Arabidopsis thaliana: one gene and its partner. The protein of the gene in region 1 interacts with the protein of each later gene in a pairwise test. Each region holds a gene or a part of one and is shown in the gene's direction. Other genes may lie near its edges. The genes, in order: HK5 and HP6.

What was found.
Region 2: the proteins of HK5 (region 1) and HP6 interact in a protein complementation assay, tested with the Arabidopsis thaliana proteins (one study listed by BioGRID).

What each region holds. Positions count from the first base shown.
Region 1 is NC_003076.8:3,384,077-3,391,356, forward strand, and holds HK5 (histidine kinase 5), read left to right. Parts: upstream 1-1,824; 5' UTR 1,825-2,093; intron 2,094-2,650; 5' UTR 2,651-2,758; coding exon 2,759-3,463; intron 3,464-3,540; coding exon 3,541-3,597; intron 3,598-3,689; coding exon 3,690-3,917; intron 3,918-3,999; coding exon 4,000-4,093; intron 4,094-4,174; coding exon 4,175-4,381; intron 4,382-4,482; coding exon 4,483-4,613; intron 4,614-4,690; coding exon 4,691-4,740; intron 4,741-4,813; coding exon 4,814-4,995; intron 4,996-5,091; coding exon 5,092-5,195; intron 5,196-5,277; coding exon 5,278-6,000; intron 6,001-6,088; coding exon 6,089-6,253; intron 6,254-6,342; coding exon 6,343-6,465; 3' UTR 6,466-6,610; downstream 6,611-7,280. Other genes in the region: AT5G10730 (NAD(P)-binding Rossmann-fold superfamily protein), read right to left, coding at 6,746-6,925, 7,000-7,091, 7,176-7,218. UniProt on the Arabidopsis thaliana protein: Functions as a histidine kinase and transmits the stress signal to a downstream MAPK cascade.
Region 2 is NC_003070.9:30,132,198-30,135,728, forward strand, and holds HP6 (histidine phosphotransfer protein 6), read left to right. Parts: upstream 1-1,520; 5' UTR 1,521-1,620; coding exon 1,621-1,820; intron 1,821-1,932; coding exon 1,933-2,076; intron 2,077-2,197; coding exon 2,198-2,336; 3' UTR 2,337-2,407; coding exon of another isoform or gene 2,408-2,455; 3' UTR 2,456-2,723; downstream 2,724-3,531. Other genes in the region: PP2-B11 (phloem protein 2-B11), read left to right, coding at 3,269-3,511. UniProt on the Arabidopsis thaliana protein: Functions as a two-component phosphorelay mediator between cytokinin sensor histidine kinases and response regulators (B-type ARRs). Plays an important role in propagating cytokinin signal transduction.

The sequences.
Region 1 (7,280 bases):
ACTTAATCATATGCCACCACGACGTAATCCATGATGGGTTAGTCCAAGGAGGTAAAACTTTCGTGAGATGGTAAATTTCTCTAATAATCTTAAAGTAGTCATAATGTCAAACCCAACTTTGCACACACATGTATTATGTATATGAATATAATATAATAATGTACTAAGTAAATAATTAGGAAGAAAGCTGAAAAGTATGGTCCTGCTTTAATCGAGAATTAAACAAATCCGGTATTTAAGGATTGGTGTCCCCATCCAATTAATATCTCCACATTCTCGTCTTTTCGTCCAAAACTAAAAAAAAATAACAATATCCTTAATCTCCTTCACCACCGTCCATAATTTTTGGCGCGAGAGCAACAAAAAAAAAAAAACACGACAAACAGAAGAAACTTGTTTGAAAATGATTAGACCACGTGTTAGTCAACGGTAATTCCACGTGTAACATTGAGGCTGACGTGGAACATGTGACTAACCACATCACATGTTTCCTATTAGCCACTTACGGACGGGACAAAAGCCTCCGAGCGCCGTTCAGATCGGGACTTAAGACACCAAAAATGGCTTAGCTGTTTTCTTAAATTATTTTAATTTAAAGACCCTTTAATTTATTATTATTAGTTTTGATTATTGTGTGTACTATTACCACTAGTTGCTAATTTTTTAGTATTTAATTTATTGATATAGAAATGGGATTGATTTCAGACAACTAATTTTGTGCCAATACAGTTGTTGTCCGCTCCATTGAATTGTGAGGATTGGGTCTTATTCATTTTTTCTATTAGCTTTTCTCGTGTTTTTTTATGCGCAAGGTGTTCAAATTATTGATCATACTAGTTTGCAACTGAAATTGAAGCGTAGAATATAGTTTAAGATTTGGGTGATTAATACAAATATTATACTACTAGTTACGATACATTTATTTGTGGTACTACATGTGCTTTCTGCTATTCATGAAACAATGAATGTCCCGACCCAATTCGAATATTTGTGTACTTTCGTCAACATTGACATTCTATAGACTATATATTAGAACCACATGATTATACATTTTAAAAAAAAATCTTCTTTTTTCGTAATGAGTAGTAGTACAAAAGGCAAAAGAAATAAATCATGCATTCGTTACTTATTGACAACTAGAAATAACTATAATTATGTTTAGTTATTTTCATTATCGGATCATCAAATCATCTAATATATTTTTCCAAAAGCTTAACATTCTACAAAACTTTACAACACAAAAATTTATATATATGATTCAACTTAAAAATTCATGAGCTAAACAGAGTTGCTCTGTTTCGGAAAATCATTCTAATTACGTAGAATAAAACTCACTTATATAAATCTACTAATCAAAGAGTTGTCCAGTTTACTGATTAAGTAGCCAAATCATGAATTAATAGTGATCGTCGTCGAGCAAATTAAAATCCAAATCTATAACAATTATTGACGCCACTTCTAGTTACTCCTCAATAAAGGAAGTTGCTAATACTTAATTAAAAAATAGTGTGACTATCCTCAATATACTCGGAGCGTGACGTAAACGCGCCGCCTTATAGCTTCCGTCGTCAACTCTGTGAGGTATAAAAGACGTAAGGAAAAGCAGAGAAACTGGAGGAAAAAAAAGAACAGAGAGAAAGAGAGAAGAGTGAATTGTGAGACAGATCGAAACGTGTCAATCTGTGTGTCATTCGATAGTAACTCGGATTCGGTCTCAGAAAGAAAACAAACGTGCACACACAGAGCAGAGAGACAGAGTCGCCATTAAAATATGTCCAACTTAAAAATGTGAGAAAGAGAGAGAAGAGAAGAGAAGAGAAGAGATGAATATAATATACATTGACCTCTCTGTCTCATGAGCAAGCACATGTCCTCTCTCTCTCTCTCTTTCTCTTCTCCGTAAAAAAAATTACCAATCTTTCACAATTCATTCACATGCTCCTCTCTCTTTCTTCATTGGCTATTCTCTTCCCAATGCTCATTTGAAGTTTATTTACTCTACTCCCGACGACCACGACTCTTCTTCAGATCTACTCACTCCTTCTTTCTCTCCTTCTTCTTCTTCATTTTTCCGGTGACCGGAGTCGGAGAAGGTAAAGCTTCTGATCCCTTCCCCTTTCCTCCGGCATACTCGTTCCTCTGCTTTGTCTTTCGTTTTTTTCATTTCTTTCTGTTTCAGCCTTTTGCATCTCGAGACTTCATGATTACAATTTCTTTATGTTTCTCAATGCAAGATTTTCGTTTATAATATATGATCACTGATGTCAAGAATAAATCACCAAAGATTTTTTTCTTTCCATATATTTTTTCCGATCATCGCTCAAAAAAAAGTTTCATCGTTTAAATTTATTTTCAGATTTTATCGTTTATTGGTGAATTTTATGATCCTAGTTGATAATTCAATCTGAAAAAAGAAACTGATACAGTTTTCTTTTTGAAGCTCTGCAAATTTCTGATTTTTAAGCTCGAATCATATAATTTGAAGTTTCCCGCTAATGTTCAATCAGAATTGGTCCACACACTTAGTTGTTGTGGACCCTTTGCAAAATTCTATTTTAGTTCATTATTTTTCACATTTTACAGATCAAGATTCTCTGATGGAGATGGTTTGTCCTGACTCTAACCTCTGTGTTTGAAAATATCTATACAGGTTCTTTATTCAGATCAAGGTTCTGGCTTAAAGAAAAAAGTTGTTTGAATTTTGAGATTTGTCTGGTCCATTGTGTTGCTGTTGTTGTATGAAGAGAAACCTTGATCAATGGTCTGTGAAATGGAGACTGATCAGATTGAGGAAATGGATGTCGAAGTTTTGTCTTCGATGTGGCCCGAAGATGTTGGAACTGAAGCTGACAAACAGTTCAACGTCGAGAAACCTGCCGGAGATTTAGACACGTTGAAAGAAGTTACTATCGAGACACGGACCATTGCGGATATGACACGGTTACCAAACCTATTGAATTCGACTCATCAAGGCTCCTCTCAACTAACCAACCTTGTGAAACAATGGGAGTATATGCAAGACAACGCGGTTCGGCTGTTAAAAGAAGAGCTAAAAAATCTCGATAGACAGAGAGAAGAAGCCGAGGCTAAAGAGTTGAAGATCATTGAGGAGTATAAGTTTGAGAGCAACGAGCCTGAGAATGTTCCGGTTTTGGATGAGACGAGTGATTTGTTCCGCAGGTTTAGGCAGAAAAAACGAGATGCCTTGGTCGATAGCAAGAAGATTGAGATCTATGAGGAGTTTGACACTGTTGCATATTGGAAACAGAAGGCGTTGAGTCTTGAGAAAATGCTTGAGGCGAGTACTGAGAGAGAAAGGCGATTGATGGAGAAGCTGAGTGAGAGTTTGAAAACTATGGAGAGTCAGTCAGCACCGGTCCAAGAGCTTACTCAGAATCTTAAGAGAGCTGAAGGTTTCTTGCATTTCATACTTCAGAATGCACCTATTGTTATGGGCCATCAGGTAAAGTAAAAGGTGATTCTTGATCTTGTTTTCGATCTTTTCGACTTTTCTGATTCTTTGTTACTTATGAGTTTCAGGATAAAGATTTACGCTACTTGTTCATCTACAACAAGTATCCTAGTTTACGGGAACAGGTTAGAAGAAAACTTTTTCTTCTGTTGGATTTATTGAATCATTCTCTGAGGAAATGTGTTTAAATCAAAATCTGTTTCTTACTATATTTCAGGACATTTTGGGAAAAACAGACGTGGAGATATTCCATGGAGGTGGAGTTAAAGAATCTGAAGATTTCAAGAGAGAAGTTCTTGAGAAAGGAAAAGCTTCAAAGAGAGAGATCACATTTACTACAGATTTATTTGGATCAAAGACGTTTTTGATATATGTTGAGCCTGTTTACAACAAAGCTGGCGAGAAAATCGGTATAAACTACATGGGAATGGAAGTAACTGATCAGGTTAGTTAGCTAAAGATTTTTGAACTATTCTATAATCTATGTTCTCATTTTCACATCTTCACTGGATCTTCCTGTGTTACAGGTAGTGAAAAGGGAGAAAATGGCGAAACTTAGAGAAGATAACGCTGTGAGAAAGGCGATGGAATCAGAACTGAACAAGACTATTCACATTACAGGTTTGTTCAAGTTAAGCAGTGAAAGTTTTAGAAAGATTAATGAGAAAACTAGACTTAGGTGTTGTGTTTTTTCTTTTGCAGAGGAGACAATGAGAGCAAAGCAGATGCTAGCGACGATGTCTCATGAGATAAGGTCACCATTGTCAGGAGTAGTGGGAATGGCTGAGATACTTTCAACTACAAAACTGGATAAAGAGCAAAGACAGTTGTTGAATGTCATGATCTCTTCTGGTGATTTGGTGCTTCAGCTAATCAACGACATTCTTGATCTCTCCAAGGTTGAATCAGGTACAATATACTGTTTTCAAAGTTTTTGATCTTGTGGTGTGGTCATTGTTCAAATCCTCGATTACATATGTTATTTTTTGGTATTTGTGTGTTCTTTTTAGGTGTGATGAGATTAGAAGCTACAAAGTTTCGACCAAGAGAAGTAGTGAAGCATGTGCTACAGACAGCTGCAGCATCGCTGAAGAAATCTTTGACATTAGAAGGAAACATTGCAGATGATGTTCCTATTGAGGTTACTACACATTTCAGAAAGAGTTAAATGTGGCAAAAGTCTTTGTGATCTTAACTTTTTTTCCTTTAAATGTTTAGGTAGTTGGAGATGTTCTAAGGATTAGGCAGATCCTCACCAATTTGATAAGGTTCTTTACCTGATTCCTGTATTATTTGCATAATGACAAGTTTCGGTTCCTGATTTGTTCAAACGTTTTGCAGCAATGCTATCAAGTTTACACATGAAGGAAATGTAGGAATCAAACTCCAAGTGATATCAGAACCATCCTTTGTGCGGGATAACGCATTGAACGCAGACACCGAGGAACACGAACAAAACGGTTTGACCGAGACTTCAGTTTGGATTTGCTGTGACGTATGGGACACTGGAATTGGAATCCCAGGCAAGCAAGCAATTCTGACAAATGAACATGAAAAGACTAAAAAACTCCAACTAACCTATATATTAACCTGGTTCATGTTTTGGTGTTCTTGTGCAGAAAACGCTCTTCCATGTTTGTTCAAGAAGTACATGCAAGCAAGCGCTGATCATGCCCGAAAATACGGTGGGACTGGTCTCGGACTTGCTATTTGTAAACAGCTGGTAAGCTATTATTAGGATTTTACAACACTACAGAAGAAACTAATGAAGCTCGTTATCCTAATCTTTCTCTGTTTGTTTACAGGTTGAGTTAATGGGAGGCCAACTCACTGTGACAAGCCGGGTGAGCGAAGGTTCAACGTTCACATTTATATTACCCTACAAAGTTGGAAGATCAGATGATTATTCAGATGATCAAGATGAGTTCTCTGATATGGCGGATCAACAATCTGAACCAGACGATACAGCTGAAGGATATTTCCAGTTTAAACCGCTCTTAGGATCGATATATTCGAATGGCGGACCGGGGATCAGCAATGACTTCTTACCTCATAAAGTCATGCTTACTAGTCCTATTAAGCTCATCAATGGTTTTGTCGCTGATCCCTCTAATAACACTGGACAGAGCGAGATGCTACAGCTTGAAAACGGTGGTTACATGGATGAATCTAAACTCGAAACCAGTTCTGGTCATTGCCCTGAATCAGCTCACCAATATGAGAATGGAAATGGTCGATGTTTCTCTAAGGAATCTGAATCTTGTAGCAGTTCACAAGCTAGCTCAGAAGGTGGAACCTTAGAAATGGAGTCAGAGCTCACAGTTTCATCTCATAGGGAAGAGGAAAAAGCCGAGACAGAAGTAAAAGAAACATCAAAGCCAAAGATTTTGCTTGTGGAAGATAATAAGATCAACATCATGGTTGCAAAGTCGATGATGAAGCAGTTAGGCCATACCATGGATATTGCTAATAATGGAGTTGAAGCCATAACCGCGATTAATAGCTCTAGCTACGATCTGGTACTCATGGTATGTAAATTTTCTTAGCTCTAAGGACTTGTCCTTTTCAAATTCACTTATATTTGAAAAAGGCTTATAATTCATATTGGGTTCACAGGATGTGTGCATGCCGGTGCTCGATGGTTTAAAAGCTACAAGACTGATCCGTTCGTATGAAGAAACTGGGAACTGGAATGCTGCAATAGAAGCCGGAGTAGATATATCGACATCGGAGAATGAACAAGTTTGTATGCGTCCCACAAACCGGCTGCCTATAATCGCGGTCAGTACTTCTTTTTTGAATACTAAACACAGAGATCTAATGCATAACTTGAGAAAACTGATAGTCAGAATGCGTTGTGGAATGTGCAGATGACGGCAAATACTTTAGCAGAGAGTTCAGAAGAATGTTATGCAAATGGTATGGACTCGTTTATTTCGAAACCTGTAACGTTGCAAAAACTGAGAGAGTGTTTGCAACAGTATTTGCACTGAGATTTCAGATTTTTGTGTTTTGTAGATTAAGAAATGGTTGTGTTGTATATAAATTGTGTAGGAAAAAAGTTTTGGAGAGCTACTAAGTAGCTTCCTCTTTTTAGAGATGTATAGTTCAATAAATAAATAAAAGCTTCTCTTCTTTATTTATTTGTGGGAAATTTCTGGCGAGAGAAACAAGTAAACATTTTTGTTCCCACCATTCGAATCCAGCAGAGTACTAAAAGCAGCCAAGCTCTACAAAACGACATTGAGCATACTTAAGCTTTTCAAAACGGACTTATCTCGATTTCTGTTGGCTGTAACGTTGTATTCCATGGACATCCACAATCCCGGGAGGGAACACTGGATCTGTGGCTGCTCTAACTGCGACTTTTGCAACCGATTCAACATTCACCGGAGGTGTGAACAAAGGTCCGACTAATGGAAGCTGGTTCAGAGGTTTTGCTTGTTGAAGAACCTACATAAAGCCACAAACATTATGAGTAACGAGGTAATCTTGAGGGATATTGCTATAAAGAGAGGATCTCTTACCATCTCCATGGGTGAACCAAATACTCCTAACGGGATCTTCATGCTCCCAACACTGCGAGTTCCATATATAAAACCAGGTCGCAAGATTATACCTGCACAACATTCACCAAAACTTCAAATGTAAAAAACAAACGAGTTTCAGAGAGAGTTTTGTAGATGTACCACGAAACTTATACCTCCATATGCAAATCTTGTGAGCAGCTCGGTCTCAGCAGCTCGCTGTAAGGATGAAATGAAAAATTCTTAAGCCAGCTTATACTAACCAAAAAGGGCTATGAATA
Region 2 (3,531 bases), on another chromosome or scaffold:
GATTAATGAATAGGGTACTCGAGCACGGGGCGCAAAGAAGCATGACATACGAATGAGACAATTTCAGTTTTCGTATATAATAATTCCATAATCATAATTTAATCACTAGTTTTAATTGGTAACATAACCTTAAAAAAGCATCCACTCATTATGCGCTCCACTTTACTACTTACTCTGATAACATGAAAAAGTATATGTTTAATACTAGCTAGTTGTTTGTTCCGTTTCCAAGCACGCTCTTTCTTCTTTTCAGTCATTTTTAATCCGCATTTACAATAATATTTAGCTATTTTCATATATCATTCTATACTAGCTCACAATAATTACATATGAGCACGCTTTTTTGTGTTCAAATATTATAAATCTTCGTTAGTTACCGCTGCTTTTTATAATTATGTATACTTTCTGGTTCCAGGAGACTAATTAAGGAAGATTATTAGAGGCTTCTTATACGTGCCATATGATTATTTATTTATGTACTGTCATGGTTCATATATAGCGATGTGATACCAATATACCAATCACCAAAGTTATGAGAAAATCACGTAACCAGAGGTGTTGGTACATACATTTTCTGTTAAAAATAGTTAAGAGGACTTGTAATCTTTTGTGTTTAACTATTGATAATTTTTTACTTTATTCGGTGAAACAATTTACGCATGTTTCTGTGTTGTGCTTGTGTTTCTTGTATTCTTCTTGTGTATAGCTTTCCTTATAAGAAAGAAAAAGAAGAAGATTAATTGATTAGATCGAGAAAGAGAAAGGCCTTTTGAGATAGAAATGGAGAAAGGATGGATTGAATTTGAAGCATAGAGAATAGCGAACACTCACTGCAAAGTTAGTGGGAAAGTCGCGCGTCATACGAGGGAGCAACAAAGTGTGGGCTTTTCTTTTACAGTCTCAGAAACTAATGCATGCTCACATTTAAAAAAAAAAAAAAAAAAAACAATTCTTGTGTTAAATCAAGAGTGGATTAATTATGAGATAATCTAATGTACATTACTGTTATATGATTATAACTTGACAGACCAAATAATCATCTTAATCAGACCTGATAAAAGAAAAGAGATTAATTTCAACAGTGAGAAATTAAAGATAGAAAGTACATATTATTGGTGTAAAAGTTGTTGATTTAATTTAAGGCAGATGTATTAAGTTAAATATGTAAATGTAGAGGCTGCGGGAAGGGTGACCAGCTGGTCTGACAGGGTACGCCGGTTGTCGGGAGGAAGAACGCCGCTATTGGCAGAGTCACGCGGGGTAACCGGCTGGCGGCTGTAGCCGGTCACAGAGTGTATTAATATGGTCGTACAATACTTGTAGAGTGCTTTTTCCTGTGACGGTCCCGTTTATTCCCCACACCCTCCTCGATTCTTTCACTTAAAAGTGGGGGAAAAAGGTAACCTGACTCTTAGAAAATTTGAATACAATTGTGGGTCACCTCATCTCATGTAGTCATGTCTATACAATTATAAATACCTCTCAACAAACCCAAAATCGAATTATAAGCCTTCTCTAGCTAGAATTTGAAGCAAGACCTGTTCACATTAGTAAAAACAAATATATAGAAAGAGGAAAGATTGAAGCGGAAAACGGGACAAGACGGGTGTGCCGTTGTGGATGTTGGGGTTGGGTGTGGACCGGCTTCAAGCCGACATCAACCGGCTCCTAGCCTCTCTTTTCCACCAGGGAGTGCTGGACGAGCAGTTCTTGCAGCTTCAGCAGCTTCAAGATGAGACTTCACCAAACTTTGTGTATGATGTCATTAATATCTACTTTGATGAATCCGAGAAGTTACTCCGCAACCTTAGATTATTGTTGTGAGTTTCTTCCTTTGTTAATGTGTTCCATAGTTGTATGTTGTTTGGTTCCAAAATGTATACGTATATATATGTTATGAATGATGACGAATGTAAATAAATAAATGAACAGGATGGATAGAGAATTCTCGGACTATAAGAAAATAGGATTACACCTGAATCAGCTGGTGGGAAGCAGTTCAAGCATTGGTGCTCGTAGGGTTCGTAACGTCTGCGTTGCCTTTCGTTCTGCTTCCGAGCTTAGCAACCGCCCAGGGTACAAATTAAACGAGCTATATATATATATATATATATATATATATATATACTTCTTTGTATTAATATATAGGTCAATATTTAAGTCAATATAATGCTTCATAAATGTGACGATGCTTCAGGTGCTTGAGAGGACTGGAGGTAGTAGAGCATGAGTATCATTACCTCAAGAACATGATGCATGAACTCTTCCAGGTACTTACTTGTTTTGTTAATATATTACTCACATTCACACAAACAGAAGGCAAAAACGTGAGCTAAATATACACATATATATTGATAGTAATATATGTTAACAATTATGTGGGATTTAATATTTTGAGTGGTTGCAGCTGGAGCAGCAGAGAATATTAGCTGCAGGAGTCAGATATCCAATGTAAAATTAGAATTTTGTCATAAAAATCAGAGAAAACCTAATTAGTGTGTGATGATAGTGTGTTATAAGCTACCGAAGCGAAACCCTTTAGTTTCTTCTAATGATGTTTTGTTGTTAATCTCTCCATAAATTCGAGATACATTACCTTTTGTATTTTCAAGTGAGATTTACCCATGTCAAAAGTATCTTTACATGAACATAAAACATTTAGTACCCAAAAAAACAGAAAAAAGAAACTGGGCTATAAAATGACCGACAGAAACGGAAGAAAGTAGGCCCAATGTACGGCCCGTTCATCTCAAATAAATGATTTAGTTTTGTTTTTGTTTTTTTCATTTTAGCAAAGATAACGATTTCTGAGCAAAAAGAATTGGAAAATGATAGAATATAAAGCCGAAAAAATATTCTGTGTTTATTTTCAAAATCTTAGAATCATAAATGTGTCTCGAATGTAACCATTAACTGATTTTCTGGATTGTCCCAAAAAAAAAAAAACTGATTTTCTGGATAAAATTAGTAAAGAGAAGGGGACAGGTGGGTGTTGCTTACTCTAGTAGTCAGTCATGAGGAAAGTAATCTGAAAAAAACGAGTAAGGAATAGACACGTGTGGCTTCATCCCTAAGTATCCGTTTTTACTTAACTAATCAATGCACGACTTCCACGTCTCTCTTTTTTTTACTAGTATAAAACTCATTAAATGTGAGCGATACTTTGCTCGATCGAACAAGTCGTATCTATATAATCGAGAAAGAGGAAAAGATCTTTTAAACCCCAAAATAATCAATCAAGCAAATAAGCAATCAATCGGAGGAAGCAATGAATAATCTCCCAGAAGATTGCATCGCCAAGATCCTTTCCTTGACAACTCCTCTCGACGTTTGCCGTTTATCGGCGGTCTCCAGTATCTTCAGATCCGCCGCCGGCTCCGACGATGTCTGGAATCATTTCTTACCGGCTGATTTCCCCGCCGGCTTTGCGGCACCTGCTGGTCTTCCCACCAGGAAGCAACTCTTCTTCTCCCTCGTCGATAACCCTCTTCTTATCAACGGCACTCTTTTGGTAATTAACCAACCTTCTTC